3 linked regions of the Canis lupus familiaris genome follow. The protein of the gene in region 1 purifies or fractionates together with the protein of each later gene. This does not show direct contact. Links are inferred from orthologs where the notes say so. Each region holds a gene or a part of one and is shown in the gene's direction. Other genes may lie near its edges. The genes, in order: CUEDC1, TOM1 and SMURF2.

What was found.
Region 2: the proteins of CUEDC1 (region 1) and TOM1 purify together in Homo sapiens (co-immunoprecipitation; 3 studies listed by BioGRID and IntAct, with this or other methods). This does not show direct contact. The link is inferred for Canis lupus familiaris from reciprocal best matches to the Homo sapiens genes CUEDC1 and TOM1.
Region 3: the proteins of CUEDC1 (region 1) and SMURF2 purify together in Homo sapiens (co-immunoprecipitation; 3 studies listed by BioGRID and IntAct, with this or other methods). This does not show direct contact. The link is inferred for Canis lupus familiaris from reciprocal best matches to the Homo sapiens genes CUEDC1 and SMURF2.

What each region holds. Positions count from the first base shown.
Region 1 is NC_049230.1:32,526,761-32,530,407, reverse strand, and holds part of CUEDC1 (CUE domain-containing protein 1), read left to right. Parts: intron 1-400; coding exon 401-472; intron 473-1,277; coding exon 1,278-1,371; intron 1,372-2,072; coding exon 2,073-2,131; intron 2,132-2,932; coding exon 2,933-3,000; 3' UTR 3,001-3,003; intron 3,004-3,647.
Region 2 is NC_049231.1:29,818,485-29,822,744, reverse strand, and holds the start of TOM1 (target of Myb protein 1), read left to right. Parts: upstream 1-1,408; 5' UTR 1,409-1,515; coding exon 1,516-1,567; intron 1,568-4,260.
Region 3 is NC_049230.1:14,572,456-14,576,102, forward strand, and holds part of SMURF2 (E3 ubiquitin-protein ligase SMURF2), read left to right. Parts: intron 1-704; coding exon 705-780; intron 781-1,032; coding exon 1,033-1,132; 3' UTR 1,133-3,647. UniProt on the Homo sapiens protein: E3 ubiquitin-protein ligase which accepts ubiquitin from an E2 ubiquitin-conjugating enzyme in the form of a thioester and then directly transfers the ubiquitin to targeted substrates.

The sequences.
Region 1 (3,647 bases):
AGGGTCACACCCCAGGGCTGAAGGCTAAACCGCTGCGCCACCGGGGCTGCCCAAGATTTATTTATTCATTCATGAGAGACACAGAGAGAGGCAGAGACACGGGCAGAGGGAGAAGCAGGCTCCCTGTGGGGAGCCTGATGTGGGACTAGATCCCAGGACCCCAGGATCACGACCTGAGCCAAAGGCAGACACTCAAACACTAAACCACCCAGGCGCCCCAAAGCTCTTTCTTGGTTAGGGAAGAAGCCTGATCTTTGCCCCATTCCTCAAAAGGAAAAGTTAGGCTGAACCCCTGTCCTGTGGTGACGGCCCTGACATGTTGCCCCCCTTCTCCCCGGAGGGCCTTTGGGCAGCCCCTCTCCCTCTCCAGCCTGCCCTCAGAAGTGTCTTCCCCTTTCAGGAACCAGTGATGCCAATCCTGCTGTGTCTGAAGATGCCTTATTCAGGGACAAGTTGAAACATATGGGGAAATGTGAGTCCAGCCTATGCCCTTTCCTCATCTCTTCTAAGACAGGCCTTGTGGCCTCATAGGAGGGAGGTAGCCACCAGGAGCTTTTTAACGTAGCTGACTCTTGGTGAACCAAAGTGACATTTTAATCGCACAGGCTGGCTCCCTCAGCCTTCCTGCCTGTCTTCTCTCTGCAGCTGAGTCTGGCTACAAATTAAGTTTTAAATCCTCTTGAGCCAGCTGTCTGCCGAAAAATAATAATGTGCTGCACCCACCCCACTCCCACCCCAGTTTTAGAGTTCACAGCCTTTGGTGGCTTGAAGGCACTTGGCCAGGCCTGATGAGTGGGGAGGCCCGTGCTAGGCCCCCTTTCTGTGGGCAGGAGGCCCGAGGGGTTGGTGACCTCTCCCACAAAGTCCTGCCAACCAGGACACACCTACCACCACCCCCACCCCTCCTCCCCCCACACACAAGTGTGAATGAGGCTGCCATCCTTCCAGGCTCCATTTCAGGGAAAATCTCGGATTAGTCATGGAAATCCCAGAACCAACTCTGGAGGTGGTGAAGGGGGGCGGGGGAGGCGGCGGGAAAGACAGCCAAGAGGCTCGCTCGCCCGCTCGCTGTCTCTCGCAGCTGGGGCAGGAATACCCGGATCTCGGCTGCCTGCCTCGGTGGCCTCTGCTGCCCCTGCAGGGCTAGCCTGCTATGGCAGCCTCCCCGCTGCCACCCACCCCTCCCTTGCCACCGCATTCCTGTGGCCCGCCGCCTGCTCCCACCCCGGGGGCGGCCCTGCGGCTGCGGCTGCGGCTCACGGGTCTCTCTGCCCCAGCCACCCGGAGGAAGTTGTTCGAGCTGGCCAGGGCCTTCTCCGAGAAGACCAGGATGAGGAAGTCAAAGAGGAAACACTTGTCCAAGCACCAGTCGTATCCTTTCTGGCCTGGCTCGGGGGCGCTGAGGGCGCTGACCCCCTGGCCCAGCTCGAGGCTGTGCCCTCCCCTCCCCAGGGCTGCGGCTGCCCCTGGCCTGGAGCACCATGACCAGGCTGGGAGGAGGCCAGCATCTCCACTTCCTTCCGTGGGCTCCTCCCTGCCCAGTTGTCCCACGACATCTCCACTTTCTCATTGGGCTAATCTGCTCTTGAGAGAAAACGTGGTTCTTCCACTGAGCTCAGCAAACCCTTCCCTAATATCTTGAGTTGAGTTGATGCATAGATCTTGCTGCCTTCCCATTTCAAGCACATTGGGCCCTGCCTTCTCACTTTCAGGGCCTTGAGTAAAAATAAGGTTCTGCACGTTTTCACACAGACTCCCCACCGATGCTTGTCAAATAGGGCCCAGAATATTTTAAGCTGAACCCCAAAGGGGAATAGGGAGGAAGTCCCTTCTCCATCCCCAGTGATGGGAGCTGGGTGAGAAAGTCAGGGCCTGGCTGCTCACCAGACCCCAAGGAAAGGAGGCTTTGGGGAGCACTGGGGGCTAAGGCTGGTACTGTAGAAGAGTACTGGCTGGTACTGTCCTGAGCTTGGAGTGGGTGGTGGAGGGCCAGAGACAGGGAGTGGTAGACCTAGGAGGACGATGGCAGTGCCCACCCATCTCTGAGACAGTTTTCCTGAATGGCCCGGCAGGCTGGGAGCTGCAGTGTCAACGGCTAATCTTCTGGACGACATGGAGGGCCACACTTGTGGTGAGGCTAGGAGGGCAGGGGAGCATGAGCTGTAAATCGCTTGTGACTGGTGACTCTCCAAGAGGAGGGTCTGGGTATTTTGTGGGTGGACCCAACCTGGGGGACACATCGTGGGTAGGTGGGCAAGTGACCTGAAGAAATGGGTCCTCCTACTTGGTTTATATTGCCTCTCCCTTCCTTCCACACCCAGAAGGGGGCCCCAGCCGCACCTCCACCTAGATCTCTGCCTGGAGCACAAAGTGTCAGGTGCTGTTTCTGGGGACTCTTCTCTGAGGTGGGAGGGGGCAGACAGACCTACCCACGTGGAGAGGCCTCACCTCAAGAACCAAGTGCTGTGCAGTTTCAGTCTCTGTGCCCAAAGAACTTTCAGCGTTCATCTAGTCCCTCCCAAAGGCCATGTGGGTTGGGAGACACTGCCTTAGACCCTAGCAGGCCCAGAGCTGAACCTCATCCTCATGCCTCAGAGGCCCTTTGGTGGTCAGGAGACATCCAGAAACAAGGACTAGGAGGGTCTTAGAGGCCATATGGAGGGTATAGCTCCCCCACCCATTCTACAGATGAGGAAGCTGAGGAAAGAACTTGTCCAGGAGCTCAGTGATGGAACCAGGCCAGCATCCAGTTGTCCTAACCCCACACTCTGCTCCGGTGCCTCTGGGCACACCCACACATCCCTGCCCCACTGCAGGATCAGGAGGTGCCCCAGCAAACAAGGGGGATGGAGAGAATTGGGTCAGCCTGGGGGACCTGCCTGAGTGAGGTCCTGCGTGGTGGAGGATGAGGCAACTTCCCTCTGCTTTTCAGATGAAGACTTCCGTGGAAGGAGGCAGGAGGTGCCCAAGGCGGAGGAAGCCCTAAGGGAAGGACAGTAAGAGGTAAGGCCTAGAGCTACAGCTGACCAGAGACTGCCCGAGGCTGGGCCTGCTGTGCCCCGGACCCCAGCTGTCCTCCCAGGGATCCAGAGGCATTGGGTGCAGGCATCTAGATGGCATAGATCCTGGTTTTCTTCCCTGTTCTTGTGGCAGAGGACACAGTCTTCTGCATGGAAGCTAGTCTTTTGCGTTTCCTTTCACTTTTTGGTTATTTATTCATTTAGCAAAGTAATCACACCTGCCTGTACCAGACCCTGGGAACAGGAGGGGAAAAAGTCAGGTTTGACCTTAATAGTTTACAGCTTGTTTGAAAGACAGTCCAGGACACACACTACACAGTCAGAAGATGACTTGGGAAAAGTTGAACCGGCCTCACCAGCCCTGTGCTCACATACACATACACATACACATACACATACACATACACATACACAGCCCTGTGACTGTCCCGTTGCTGGCTTGGGGTGGGTGACATAAAGAAACAGTCTCTCTCAAGGCAGCTGTTTCTGGCTAGAGCCCTGGGCCCTCAGGCTGCTTCTCCTCTTCTGTGCATCCCTGGGGGCAAATCAGGGAGTGTCATCACCCCTCCAGGGCTCAGTGGAACCTATTCCCGTGCCAGCCCCCCTCCATCAGAGGATTGCCTGTCA
Region 2 (4,260 bases), on another chromosome or scaffold:
CTCCCTCTGCCTCTCCCCCTGCTCACTTTCTCTCTCAAATAAAATCTCTAAAAATAAATAAGTTTTCATATATTAGTCACTGTGCTAGACAATGATGGTGAGTCAAGTAGACATAGTATCCCAGCCCTCACGGAGTAGCTAGCCTGGTGAGGAGAAGGGCATTTATGAATAGGTCTCATGAGCACTGTTGAAGCACAGGAGTACATGACTTCCATAAAGTTCTTATATTGTACAGTAAAGGTATCAGCCCCTGTATGCTCAAACAGGTCAACATAAGGAAGTGATTAACTTCTAGCTTAGGTTCTCCATCATCCTATATTTGTACAATTCCTAGCCTTTCCAATTGGGGACACCTGGGTGATTCAATGGTTGAGCATCTGCCTTCAGCTCAGGGTGTGATCCTGGGGTCCTGGGGTCTGTCTCCCCACCGTGAGCCTGCCTCTCCTGCCTATGTCTCTGATAAATAAATAAATAAAATCTTTTATTTTTTTTAAATCACATACTGTGGTGGATTAAGTACTAAAGCTCCCAGCAGTAGCCCAGACTACCAAAGCAGTGATTATTGTATCTAGACTGCATATGACCAAAAGAATAAAGCATAATAGGTCCGACCTGATCTAATGTGTGGGTGAAATATCTAAAACATGGTACACAGGAAGGTTGGAAGATAGCAGAATCCTAGAACTAGGAAAGGCCTTTGAGATTCTTAAAGTCCGTAACTTGGGGTCCACTGACTTCTGGGACCCTAGGAAGTCCCTGACGTTAAATTGTCTCTCTGCCCTTTTTTCTTCAGAAAGGTTGATGGTTTTCTTCAAGTCCTCAAAGGAGCCTATGACCTAAAAAAAAAAAAGAGAGAAGAAGAAAGTCCTTGATCTAGTTCCAGCATCCGGAAAAAATGGAAGCTCGCTGTGTGAATCACAGCCGAGGTGGGTCCCAGGCCCACCCGTGACCACCTCCGGGTGCCTCTGCTACTCCGGGCTCCAGCCCGCTCCTCGCTGCGGGTCACTGGGCTGGTTCTGTGTCCAGGGAGGAAGCGCTCTGTCGGGGCTGGGAGACGACGAGCCAGAGATGCTGTCGCCGCCGGCGGTGGGGGCGTGGCCTAGCGACGTCACCGGCGTGAAACCGGGTCTGAGCTTGCCCTGTGACCCTACCCCAGGCACTTCCCGGCTCCGAGACCCTGTTCCGCTGAAGCTCGCGGTGCTGGGCCACGCCCCTGAATAAGGCCTGGGGCGGGGCTTGGAGAGGCCACGCCCCTGGCCCGCCCAGCCCCACGTCGTGCGTGACGTCCGCAGACGCCGAGCGAGTTGCCGTGAGGTCATCGCCCTCCGCCCGGCTCGAGGGGCGAGGCCTGTGGCCTTCACGTCAGGGGCGGGGCCTGTGGCCACGCTCGCCTCCCTACGCCCCGCCTCCACAGGCGCCTCCTCGCGGGCCGTCCGGCGCGTCACGTGACGGGTCGGCAGCGCGGCGGTTGCCGTCAGCTGATTCCCCCGGTTGGCGGCTGAGGCGCCCGCAGCGATGGACTTTCTCCTGGGAAACCCGTTCAGCTCTCCGGTGGGCCAGCGCATCGGTGAGTCCCCGGAGCGCCGCCTCGCCCCGCCGCAGGGCCCCGCACCCAGCCTCGGTCCCCGGGGGGCCCCGGGGCGCCTCCAGGTCCCAAGCCACCCTCTGGAGGGAGGCTGGGAGAACTAGGCTGGCGTGTCTCTCCCCGACCTGGCCCCGCCCAGCCTCCCGCCCACCTTGATTGACAAAAGCCGCGCTCCACTAGGAAGCCTCGCCTTGTGGTGGATGCCTAGGCTAGCCAATAGCAAAAGAAAGGGGGCGGGTCCTGGTGGCCGCGGCTCAGCCAATGCGTGGCTGCTGGGGTCCCGAATCCGGGGAGAAAGTTTCGGGGGCTGAAGGGGCAGCGTGGTTTACGGCCCTCGGGCCACTGGCCCGTCTCCCTCGTCCCTTCCGCAGCCCGGGTCCGGCCGCCGGGGCCTGGCCGTCTCCCTCTTGGCTCGCCAGGCTCTCGGGACACAGGTACCGGAGAGGGGCTAGAAGCCCATTCGCCCAGGATCCGGAGACGCGCTTGGCGTCGGGGCCGGCGACTTGCGGGGACCAGGCCCGGCAGCCCTGCTGCGCGCGGCCCCCGGCCGGACCCTGGCGATCCCGCCAGACCAGCAGCAGCCGGCGGCACGGTCGCAGGCTCCCGAGCTGGAAGCGACCTCAGGAACCTCCTGATTCCGCCTCCTTCGTTTCTCGTAGGCGGGTGGGCCAGGCACTCTGGCCGGAGGCACAGGCTCACTCCGAGCCCCGGCCTCCCGACTCTTCCTGCCCTCTGTTGACATCGCCGCCTCTGTTTCCTCCTCACCTATAATTAGGGGCATATTAATAGCCCCTGCTTCCGTGGGGTTGTTGTGAAGCTTCAGCTCCTTAATAATTGTAAAGTACTGGGAACCGTGCCTGGCACATGGCCCTGCTAATATAAAACAAAGTGATAATATATATTTATCGTCATTGTTAGGGAGATGCCAGGAAGTGAGGGTCAGGAATCCCTGGAAATAGCTGTGTGGAGAGTCTCCTAGGTGCTCCTTGCTGTGCATCAGCACGGGGAGGAACCACAGGCCCTGGGCCACACCGCTAACACTTCCCCTTTGGGACAGCCTGGATGTGCCTCCCCGCATTAGGAAACTGTGATATTCTCCCTTCGACCTCTTGATGGCCCTTAGCGTTCAGTCTAGACTGGGAAAATTGGACCTTTTAGACATTTTTTCCTTTCTTATGGTCTTGGAAGCCAAACTTCACTTAACTGTCAACCCAGCTCTGCGATGTCATCGGCACCAAGGCTGTCAGTGGCTCTTGTGAGGTTTTGTAATCAGACTTCTCCAAGAGGAGAGTAGAAGTCCAGGATTAATTTGCGAACCAGAGCGCTCCTGGACCAGGGAGGTGAAGCTGCCCTCTGAGGAACACCCTCCCCACTGCCTGCCACACACACACCCTGCAATGAGTCATTGTTTTGGAGCTGAAAAGAGAAAGTGGCTCTCCCCTCATCTTTATTTCTCCAACAACAGATACCACTGCTCTCATCACATGCCAAGTTTGAGACTTCCTACTTTAAAACAAAAAATTCTGACCTTCAAAGTCAGCCACGTTTGCTGAACCTTTGTAGAAAAGCTCACCTGGGCTCTGGGCTTTAGCTAGTCAAAAAAAAACAGCTTCTCTTCCTATCCTGAGGGTTGCCTGTCTGTGGCAAGAAATACTCTGTCCAAAGAGAATACTACTAAGTCATAATACTTCAGAGCCCAAACCAAATTTTACTCCTGGAAGGATCCTTACCCTGGGGGTCTTCTAACTCAGGGTTCTCATCGGAATTCCCTGGAAGACTTGTTAAAGACAGATGGCTGACTGGGCCCCACCCCAAGAGTTTCTGACTCTGTAGGTCTGGAGTTTGCCCAAGAATATGCATTACTGACAAATTCCCAGGTGATGCTAATGCCACTGGATTGGAAACCACATGTTGAAAACTTCCATTCTGGCCCATCCCCTTCATTTTACACAGGAGAAGACAGAGGCTGGAGAAAAGGTGGAGACTCTGACTCACCCAGGCCCCCAGTGAATTGGTAGTGAAGTGTGATGAACTCCCCAGAACCAATGAAATTTGAACCAAAGCTGAAGAGGCTCTCAAAGTAGAATTAAATGAAGAATAGCTGCCATTTGAGCAAATGCCTTCAGTATTCCATGTTTTCTCTTTTAGAGAAAGAGATTGCCTGTGATTATTGACGACCTAGTAGTTCTGTAAACTATAGTAGTAAAATAATCTCAAGGTTGCCAACTCCACCCCCCTATTGTGAGTAGGGCCCTGTAGAATTGGCATCCCTGAGCACAGCGAGTTCCAGTGGTACTTATCAGGGATGTCACTCAACTCATAAAGCTCTCATCCACCCTCATACCCAAGCACTTTCGTGGAATGCCTGCTCCAGTGTGCATCCTTCAAAGCTCAGACATTGTCACCTCCTCCCTGAGGCCTTCCCTGACCCCCTTCCTGACCCCTTCAGATCCAGCTGTTGCTTTCATGCTCTTCCATCATCCCCATTCCTCAGGCTTCTTCATTCTCTGCCTTTGGGCTCTGAACCTCTATTTCCTCCTGGGTGGAATGGTGGCTACAAGAGCATCTGCCTCTCCGGGTTGGGTGGTAGTGAGAGTGAAGCGAGGACCACCCCCCCACCCCGCCCCGCCCCGGGAGTGCCTGGCACATTGTGAGTGAATTAGCTCTTGCTGTCC
Region 3 (3,647 bases), about 18 Mb from region 1:
TCTAAGGATTGTGGCGCTTCGCTGGGTGGCACTTGCTTCCTTTCCCTCTGAAGCTCTTCATTTGCAAGGCTGCTGCCACCAGTCACATCTGAAGACCTACACAGCCAGACAGGACAGCGTTGCCCGCAGCACACGTGTTGGAAGTCCACAGACAGGGAAGGCATCCTTGGAGTTGTGCTTAATTCCTTACTTGGAGAACTTGTTAGCAGACTACCCAGAAGCGTAAAGTGAAGCTATATTTCTACATACACTTTTATGGGGTGTCTTATGTTAACTGGAATTTATTCCATGGACTGCTAATCTTTTGCTCTCGGCCAGGTTTGAGGCATGAAATCTAAATTTGCATTTAGGTTGTCATCTTTTTGAATGTGTGTATATATATATTTGATCTTGAATTTATCCATTTACTTTTCTTCTCATACATTTGGCACATTGATTTTTTAATAGAAGAAGTTGGCAAAGGATTCCAATCCTGGGCCTTTTCTCAAATTGATATGCTAGCATATTAAGGAATCCAGTGTTTATCCAAGGTCAATTTCATTTTTCAAGACCCAGATTCTTTTTCTCCTGCCCTTGGCAGCTTATGTGGAGTCACCAGTGGTTCCATCTTAGGCCTTGTGGTTTACGTATCAGTTTTATTCTGAGATTTTGGAGACTCACACACACACCTACAGTGACGTGACCCACATTGACTTCTTTTGCAGGCGCTGCAGGCCCACGACTCTTCACCATACACCAGATTGATGCTTGCACTAACAACCTGCCGAAAGCCCACACTTGGTAAGTTGTTTTTGAAGCTTTTCCCCTGCATTCCATGTACGTAGGTGTTAGGTTTAAACCGATTTGAATTTGAGATTATGCAGAAATTGGTAGGAAAGCCTGAAAGTGGCAGTCTCTACTTTAGAGGAGTACAACTTTTTCTTTTAATTTTCTGTGTGTCATGAAATGTGATGTGACTGTATTAGTATACACTTGCTAGACCAGTTTGCTTATTCTGAATGAACTGTGTCAATCTGATTTGCTCATTTACAGCTTCAATCGAATAGACATTCCGCCCTATGAAAGCTATGAAAAGTTATATGAAAAGCTGCTAACAGCCATTGAAGAAACATGTGGGTTTGCTGTGGAATGACGGACTTCAAGGATTTACCCAGGACTCTATTTATACCCCGACCGACAGCCTCCTTTCAGCAAAGTTTCGCGGAATGCTGAAATACAGGAAAATGCCTCCCCCCCCCCCCAAAAGATTTTTAGGACACTGTGAGGGGAAAGGACAATTTTGAAATTCCTTTTCAAGGAAAAAAAAGAGGTCTTTATGCTTTGCCATGAGGCCACACTCAGCTGCTATTTAAAATTAATATCTTGAACCTAAAGAATGCTGACTTTTCCTACATTTCCAGAGTTAGGCAGTATTCTACACTTAAAGACTACTACTATTTTTATAAAAGGTAATCTATTCAAATTGCTCCACAGATTTCAAGTCTCTCAAACATCAAGACAACTTCAGCAGTCGGTACACGTCACATTTCATTTTGATTGAATACATGATTTTGAACAGCTCCTGTACTTGCTCTTTGTAAAAGAAAAATAAATAAAATTATTTTGAATTATTCTACCTTTGTAAACAATTGGCTAAAGGAATCATTATCTTTAAAAAACAATTAAGCCATTTACATGTTTAATTACATTTTTCTATAGCAAAGCATTATATTTTAAAAGCATTATATGTTTCAAACTAGCCTAAGTAAGTCTTTTGTATATTTTTCAAGCACGAACTTCCTGGAATACAGCCACATAATTTTGGTTGTCAGATTCCTAATGCAACCATTTAGTCTAAACTTAGCTTATTTGATACAGTAAGATGCATTCAGGGGCTCCTTTTTTTAAGAGACTTTTAAAAAAATCCTAATTTTTTTATCTTGAATCAGTATGATCAGGTATTTGGGATTTACTTCATCTTAAATGGAAATACTGCATTTTTATAGGTCCTCAGATTGTTGGATGGGATGGGATTTTCATTCTTTTGCTGGGTCAGCGTATCTTTAATATATATACTATTTCTGTAAACCAAAGTCTCCTATGACAAGTGCACCTAATTTATATTTTAATTATGGTCTAGCTTTCTATCAAGTAAACCATCCACAATCTTTGTTTAGCTGCTCAATATTTTAATCAGCTAAAATTATGACAAAGGAAAAATTTTATTCAGCCAGCTTAGAAAACCCCTGTTTTTACCTAACAAAATGAAGGTAGGGGTGAGGAGGGGGTAGGATTACTGGAGAAATAGTGATTCTGAATCTATGGTATAAATTACTTTAGAACGGAAGAATTCTGTTTTGGAGGTAAGGGAATCCCAGTTCCCTGGGTGTTGATCAGTGTCTGATTTTGAAATACCCAGATTGAGCTTTCAAGGTGTGTGGCATGTTGCATGATCCAGAAGGTAACCAAAATTCTGGAGTAAAGGATTGAAAAAATCTGAAGTCATGGGTGGCTTTTAAAATCCAACTATCAGAAATCTGCACTATATATATTTTTTCTTACACAGATGTGAATCAAGAAGGGCAAATTTTGATGAGATAGCTCCTTGGAAATGTTGCAGCTTAATTATCAAGTGAATAGGCCCTTTGTGTTCTTTCATCTGATGGATTGGTTTTCAGTCTGTGTTCACGAACCAAGGGGTTCCTCTGAGGTGCCTCAGAAGTAGTGGTTTAAGAGAGAAGGGGATGGAGGGAGAGGAGGGGCCTGGTTGGTATTTGAGTTGGAGCCTCTAACTCCCCACCCTCAACCCCTTGTACAGGAGCAGCTCCCAAGTCCTCTCTTTTATGTATTGGAATTCCAAGTAAGTTTTCCCAGAGGTGGGAGGTGGAGGCGGGCGGGGATAAAAGAAGCAGAAATTTTGCTGTTTAGAAAAAAAGAGTTGAGAACTGCTTGTGTAGTTTCGAAGCATTTGAATTTATTTCATTCAGCCAAATTGGACCGCTACATGCAAGCTAGTCGTAGTCCTGTGCGGTGGTAACGTGCTTCCACTGACCTTTTCCTTCCCAGACACCTTGTGTCTTAGTAGCACTCGAGAACATCTTGAAATGTACAGAAAAGGTTTCTAAACTCCATCAGTTGTCAGCTTTCACGGTAGTACCTTATCGGCTGCAGACTCATCTCTTGTATGTTATATTAAAGCACTAGTGCAGTGTGATTGTGCCTACTGTTACAATCTTCCAAAAACGAAGTCCATGCTGAACACATTAGAGAAGTCCTAACCAATGGATGCAGGAGTAAATGCTACTATCATAACGTACAGTAAAGCAGGCTAGTACCATCGCTTTTGAGTGCCTTTTTAACTTTATAATGATGACTTAATAGAGCTTTAAAAGAAATCTACCCTAGCAGTCTATGGTATCACCAACATGATTTATAAAGACATGATTTAGATTTCATTTTTCAAAATTACGTTACCTGATTACTTCCAAACAGGTGCTAAGCAAACTAAACCCCCACTGTGTCATTGAATCTGAGACTCGCCCCTCATGTGTAATGTGAATATTTATTTCCACACATCCCTCTTAGCTGGGTTTTTCTGCTCCCTGCCCCTAGTTGTGTTATTCCAGATATGTGATGTCACGTTTCCATACAGTGCCTCTCCATCATGA